Linked DNA regions of Saccharomyces cerevisiae S288C. The protein of the gene in region 1 purifies or fractionates together with the protein of each later gene. This does not show direct contact. Each region holds a gene or a part of one and is shown on either strand. Other genes may lie near its edges.

The links.
Region 2: the proteins of RRG1 (region 1) and RRG8 purify together in Saccharomyces cerevisiae (affinity purification with mass spectrometry; 2 studies listed by BioGRID). This does not show direct contact.

What each region holds. Positions count from the first base shown.
Region 1 is NC_001136.10:578,474-582,404, reverse strand, and holds RRG1 (Rrg1p), read right to left. Parts: upstream 1,719-3,931; coding exon 621-1,718; downstream 1-620. Other genes in the region: RTR2 (putative protein-serine/threonine phosphatase), read left to right, coding at 1-497; 40S ribosomal protein uS15 RPS13, read right to left, coding at 1,953-2,387, 2,927-2,947; AIM7 (Aim7p), read right to left, coding at 3,293-3,742. UniProt on the Saccharomyces cerevisiae protein: Essential for respiratory growth and required for mitochondrial protein synthesis. Required for vacuolar acidification.
Region 2 is NC_001148.4:756,442-760,108, reverse strand, and holds RRG8 (Rrg8p), read right to left. Parts: upstream 1,462-3,667; coding exon 628-1,461; downstream 1-627. Other genes in the region: HOB2 (Hob2p), read right to left, coding at 1-84; RGC1 (Rgc1p), read right to left, coding at 1,981-3,667. UniProt on the Saccharomyces cerevisiae protein: Required for respiratory activity and maintenance and expression of the mitochondrial genome.

The DNA.
Region 1 (3,931 bases):
AATCTGCCATAGTTTCAATGCTCACAGAATCATTTTGCGAAAATGAGCAGACATTAAAATACTTAGCACGGCTACTTTCACCGATGTCTTATATGGATGTTATTAATGCAAGAAGGGGAAAGAAAATATGTGGGTACCCGCTATGCTATAAGAGTGCGGCAGAAAATTCATCTGATGGCTTCTTTATCCACTCAATGTATTGTAATAATTATCACAGTAAATGTTCGTTGTATTTAATGAGACAGTTATCACAAACGCCTCTGCATGAAAGGCGAGGCGTGCATTTAACTAGTTACATTAATCTAGAGTTTGATGATATGTACTCGGTAAGCCTTTTAGAAGAATTAGTTGGAAGTGAGGTACCTATAGATACCGTCAAATCGCTGATAACGAGTTTCAAGGATCTTGAGTTTGATGATACCTACAAGAATGAGCCTTTACCATTGGATGTGTACTTTGGACAGTTGACTACTGATGAGGAAACCTGTATAGAATAGGAAGTATAATTAAATCGTCTTCATCAGGATCCTTATCGCGGTCATACGAGTGACTATTTACATAGAAATGGAAGTAACCAGTAAATTTTCTATTAAACTTTCTGATTCACGCAACTTTTGCACTTAAAAACCGTATTTCGCCAAAACACTTGGCAAGTCCCTCCCTTCTATAAAGAGTGTCACATATGGTAATGTTTCTTTGCTCATTTTTCTGAATAGTGTCAACCGTTTGGCGTACATTTCTTTTGACTTTTTATCAAAATATGCTAGTTGGCCACCGTTCTTTAAAAGCTTTTCCTTATATTTGTTAAAGTACTCCACTCTTTGAAAACTTTTGGAATGTAATTCGAACATTATTTCTCTCACGGGATCTACCCATTCTTTAACTTTCTGATATTGACTCGAAGGATTACATTTAGTAGACTTTGGGATATTTGCAGCGTATTCCAAGTATTTCGGTAAGTTTACTTTAATAATCTTTTTCGACTCTAGATATTCCTCCCAAATGGCCTCATGTAATGCCCAAGCAGCATTAATTTCGCAAAAATTGAGATTATCGATATTTTTCTGAGAATCCTTCCTTTCTTTTCGTATCAATATTCCCAGCTTTTTCGATTGTTGTCTGCCCTTGTTAATTGGTGACCGAACAAACCATATTTGATTCCTTCCTTCTTTTGTATATGACAGCCCAGCAGAAGGTGGGCCATTTTTCAATTTTTGCTGAATATGAAATAGTTTCAGGCACGCATGTTCGTTCAATGCTAATGGTAATAGGAGTTTGTGCTGATACGTTTTTGGTATGTATGCAGGTAAAAGGCCCAAATCTTGTTTTCGCTTAATGTAAGCACTTAGAACATGAAATCTTCTTACTTCTTCTGGGTCGTTGGTCTTTACATCCCCTAATGAAGTCAAAGAGTTGAGGATTTTCGTTGTTTTCAGTTGTTTTTTCATCTTTTTTAATGGCTTCATTAAGTTTTTGATTTCTTGTAATTTACCTTCCAAAAGGCAATTGTTCAACAAACTGAATTCATTGAGTAAAGTATAAACACTCCAACTTGACTTGTCATGCTTGTGTTTGAACAATTGTATTGAAAGTGTTTTTTTTATTTCATATTGAAACGCATATGAGTGGCAACACTTTGGAATGTTTCTGAGAACGGTCCGATATAAGCTCAATACGTAAGACTTGTGAGAAGGAATCTTTCCAAAATTTTGAGCCATATTTTCTACTTGTTCATTACAAAAGTGTTAATCTGTTGCTTTCTCAGGCAGACTTGGTAACTGAAAACCTTAGGAAAGGCTGGGAGCAGCTTTGAAGTTAGAAACGGACACAAAAATTAGCAATAGTGAAATAAAATAAAATGCAACTTATCGTTTATAAAGAGATGTTTAAAAAATCAATTTTAGTTATACAAAATATACATATAAAATAATGAAATAAATGATTTAAACACTCTAGTTGACCAAAGCGGAGGCAGTGGCGGATTCGTACTTCCAGTTTGGTGGTAAGACAGCAACAGTTCTGTAGTATCTGGCCAATCTGTGAATTCTAGATTCGATCAAAATCAATCTGAACTTAGCGTCTTTGTCCTTTCTGTTTCTTTCCAAGTGCTTTCTAACAGAGACAGCCTTCTTAATCAAGTAGTACAAATCTTCTGGGATTTCTGGAGCCAAACCATTGGACTTCAAGATTCTCATGATCTTGTTACCAGTGATAACACGAGCTTGGGTAACACCGTGAGCATCTCTCAACAAGACACCAATTTGAGATGGAGTCAAACCCTTTCTCGCGTACTTGACAATTTGTTCAATGACAGATTCAGAGGACAACTTGAACCAAGCTGGAGCATTTCTAGAGTATGGAATAGCAGAAGAAGAAATACCTTTACCCTGTTTAAAGTAATATTTAGTGGAATTGGATATTCCAAAAAATTTATCGAATGTTAGTAACATGAAGATTCATATGGCTTGAAGAAAAGTGTATCATGACATATTTCCTCGTTCAGACCATACAATTCCATTAAAGTATAACTATTCCGGGTGATTCTTCAATCTTGGTTCTCCTCCGATAGGTTAACGTGTTATGTTATGAGCTTTGTGAAAACTAATTCATAAAGGCGGCTAGCCATCAGTAATTTTCCGGCGTAAATTATACTGAGAAACGGCAGATAGTATAACCTGTTAAACTAATGCAACATATTTGTAAAAGAAATTGGAATCACCCAGCTAATGTACAGCGAGTAGAAACTACTCTCCAGTATAAACTATACCTGTGTACACACCGGAACTTGTAATAGAATTGTGATCCGACAGAGACAAATTATATTAGAAATCCACTTTTGAATTCCACATTAGAGTGTCATCTGATTTAGCGAACTATTCAATGCAACTTTTGCATTAATATCTCGCTATGGTGTTAATAAACATACGGCACTGTGCATACGACCCATTTTGACTGATTGTTGTTGATTGATTTAGTGGTTAACCGTTTAGAATAAATATTAATGAGAAAGAAATTGTTAATTCAATCACGACTGTGATATATGTCGGCCAACATAAATTTCCATCTGTACAGAAGTGGAAATCTCATTCGTATCAAAATTTCACCGCTACTTTGCGCGCTCAGAAAAAACGACAAAGAAAAAATTATAACGTAAAATTTTTTTAAAAATGTTTGGGTCTACTTTATGGTTTATGGGTGGTAAAAGGCTTATATTATTGCTATGAAGATAAAAAAATGTTTAAAGTACACTACATGATTATAGGAGGTAGTTTAGTGTTTAAGATAGACTATACTAACAATTTTCTAATTGCTCCCTCAATTCTTCAACGTCTGAGTCATCCTCCAAACCTGAAGAAACCTCTATCAATTTAAAAGTACCGCACTCCTCTCTGATCATTTCTAATGCGCCGGCATAAAGCATCTTCCATTCCTGTGAAACGACCGTCATTGGCTTCCAATATACTAGAACTAAGGGAGTCTGTTTGAACCCATCTTTTGTTGTTGTTGGATATGCAGTTAGTACAAATCTAGGTGAGTTATCAGGTAGGATCTCGGCTAATTCGCTCAAATCTTCAATTTCGTCTAGCTCTTCTTGTTCGTCTTCATCGACAATTATCTCATAGGACGGTTTTGGTTCGATCTTTATTGATAAAGCTTTTATGGAGTCGGTTCTTGCTGTAGATGTACGAAACTTCTTGATTTTATTTCTAGTTTCAGTTCCAATTTTGTAGAGGTTCGACATGATTGTTTGCTCGATGCTTTGAGGACGCAATTGCAAAACTAAATAATGGGTTTAAATCAATGGTAGCTGATAAATTCAAAATCAGTGAACAAAAGAATTGATAATCCATTTAAAGTTTAACAGACCCTGATCCTAATTCGCTTTTGTCTAACAAAATCACCTAGGGGGTTGGCGTTGACATGTTCTTCT
Region 2 (3,667 bases), on another chromosome or scaffold:
TTTCTGAATTGATATAATAAAAAGCATAAAGCCTAATAATAGTTTAGACACATCCCTTATTTGAGACCACGGTAACATAGACATTGTAGATTTTTTTTCTTGCAATAAACAGGATACTCCAGCTACTAGATATTATGGATGACAAGCCTACTCGAGAAATTGATCAGCAAAACTAAATTGAATGCTTAGCTTTTAAATGTAAGCCTTTTCGTGGGAAAAAGTGTATGATTTAGTTTTCAAAGAAGTACCTTCTATAATGGTAAATTATTGGTTGTGCTCTTGAATATAATGCATGTGTATGCCCTTGAAGTTTTTAATACAAAGCCACTAGTGCAAACAAATCAACAAATCTATTTACCCTTAATGTTCCTCTTTATCAATCATACAGCCTTGCAGATGGATGGTAAGTGATGGACTATAGAACACCTCAGAGATATTTTACGTAGATGTGCGGGATTAAGGGTTCTGAATTCTCCTGCCCGAGGCGCCCAAATTTTTCATTTTCGGATTGCAAAATGATGCCATTCGCTGACAGCCAGTTTTGTATTCATTGAATAAGAATAATGGCAAATTCAGAGAGACAATTCCAGCGATATATCCCGCTTTCCTTCCTTTTTTCTTCCGCAATCAGTTAACTGAATGAAACAATAATGTACTATAAAGGTGTTTGATGAGATCCTTGTCATTGTCGGCATCCAGGTAAATTCCATTAGTAACTGCATCTTTACTCACGATAGCTTCTAGAGTTGGCTCGTGGAGATAACCAAGGTTAAAGACAGACTGTGTAATTGGTAGCCCTTTACCATGACTAACTACTTGTATTTCAATCGGGGGTGTTTTTCTCTTGTCACAAATGAGTAAAACACGATTTATCGAAGAAGGTCCAACATTCGGTATCACTGAAAGTCTTGCTTTTATAAATGCGTGCAAGTTAGCATTGTATTCCGTTATAAATGTAGAGGAATCAACTTCTAGGCTCTTTGGAGTTGATGTTTGCAATACCGAGATTGGGAACCATGACGTCGCAGCCGCCAAGTTGTCTTGTACAATGGAGGCTGAATTCAATACGTACGAGCTTTTGTATGATTTGGAATAATCTAGTGTAGGTACCAGTTTTAGTTTATCTTTATCAGCATGCTGATCTTTGCCAGTTGATGGTACCACTTTCAATGGAATTAGTAATTCTCTACACGATTTTAATTTTGAGATTTTTTCTGCTCTCATTGGAGAAGCTAAAAGCCTACCATATAAGTTATTTTTTAAATTGAAATTTTCCAAATGGAACTGCCCCACCATTTCCTCTTCATCTTTGAAATAGAGCTTCTTGCGCTTATCCGACCATTTCTCGAAGTTTGTAATGAGCGGAGAAACATCTTTGACTCGTTGGGCACAGTTTTTATTAATGACTCTCGTTGGACAATCTATGAGTAACTTCTTATATGCCGATTTAGGTAAACCCATATTTGATTTTGAGAGGTTCCCAGGAGAATTCACAACAAAATATTATTCGAAGGCTCCTATCGTCATCATGTACCGTGGCGCATTGCCAACCTGTCTTATAGAAAGGCCGATGTCGTAAGCGGACCGGAAAACTGGAGATGAACAGGCATTGCCAATCCTACCGCCACTGTAAAAAACAAGTAAGAAAAAGATAATTATGGACGCTGGCTTTCATTTTAAAATAACATCAAGTTCAGATGATACTTCTGAAAAATACCCAATCAGGAATCTATTTTTATTTGGTAGAAGACTACTTTGTTTACTTATAAAAACATGATAACTATCTAAGAATATATGAACTGATTGCGTTTAACTTAACTTTTCCATTTTGTCTTAATCTTCTTCGTTTCCGGTAGTTAATGGGTTTGTATTTTCAGCAGGAACATGACCCAGGACTTTCTTGTTGCTTATTACACTTATCAAGGAACCAAATGACATGCTCTTCATCTGTGCAGTCTTATTGGACAGGTTTTCATAGTGTCACTTACTTGACGCGGATGTAGCAGGTACAGTATTAGTACTTCCCTCCTTGCGCGAGTGAAGAGACTTATCATTCGATACAGTAGATGTTAGTGGGACGTTTTCCGCACTATATGTCTTTTTCAAACTGCTATAAGGAGCTTCAACACCTTTAGATGTAAGCGGTTCCTTCAACGTTAGACGTGATTGTGAGGCGCCCTTCTCATTGCCGTAGATCAATCGTGAGTCATTACCTTCTTTCCTTGGACCACATTGATGGGGAATATGACAAGCTGAACTTTTGCGAGAGCCACTGCAGTTTTGAGTTCTGTTTTCCTCGAACAATGGAGACTCCATCTCAAAAGGTGAAAGATCTGACCCTCGTCTTGCTTCCGAATTGCAATTCAATGGTATTCCAAAATATCCGTTTGCATTACCATCCAATGCTAGACAACTGGGTGAAACACCTGGTAAGTTCATTAATGGCGAAGGATAAAAATCAACCCGTTGGTTGTGAATGGATGCAACACTGGAGGCACGAGACGATTTATGACTACTATCTGAATACGCGCTTGCCGGAATAATGGCTTCATCCCCATGATTACTAACAGCTATTTGAGGTACCTCTCCGGGAGCCGATGCTTTTCGCGAAGAGGATGCCATTAAGTTATCTGCTGACCGGTTGTAAAGCATACCTTCCCCAGTATAAGGTGAATAAGGCGATTTGCAAGGGGTTCTAATTGTGTAACTCATACCATTTTGTGGAGCACTGTTTTTCGTTTCTCCCACTATGGCCAGATTACCATTTTCATCAATGGCTGGTGTATTGACTTTTGACCTGTATACGGAATTCATAGCGCCTGCATTCATATTTGCGCTTTTTGGGATGTCTATATAACGAGGACGATTTGCCCTCTTCCTAGTGTTTAACGTGGTAACAGAGGAAGATGGCGTTACTTTTTCAGAAAGGTTAACAAAACTGTCTACTGGAGTGATATATGTACTGTTTTTGGACCTTTGAGAGCTCTTTCCATTATTATGGTTTCTACTTTTCAGAATCTTTTCTTCAATGAAGTTCGACCTCTCCTGAGTAGAATTGAAACTTGTAAGCGCTTTTATGTCCTGAACCCATTTCTTGAAATTTTTTGATTCCTCTGGAGTTGGTTCAAGACTTGCGGAAAATATTTTAAACGTCCATTCAACGCGCTTCTCGCAAATTGACTTCTTATTGATGTTAGCTTCTTCTTTAGCCTTTTTTTGTTCCTTGGGCACGGAAGAACTCTTTAGAAATTTCGGAACGGACACCATCGAGAGAGCTGAAGGCGTACGTTGATGTTTGCCCTTATTTGAAGCAAGCGTCTTTGTTGGACATGCCAAATCTGAGGTCGTGCTTGATTCTTTTGTACATGTGTCCTCTGGTGAATGATAACTAGCATACCCTTGTAAAACAAAAGTTGAGTCAGTACTATCCTTTAATGAGCAATCATTTAAAGACAAACTAGAGATAGGATATAGATTCGAAGAACTCAAACCCTTTCTTCTCTTCGTCAGTTTCGGATCCTGTGTCCCTTTGCTCGATGGGTGACTGCCAGCGTTAGTCCCATCCTTATTCACACGGCTAATGTCTGATTGTTCAACAACAGGTTTATTTTTTGAACGGGGAGACTTGCTGTCTAGAAAGAAATCGCTGCTTTTGAATTCGTGAAGA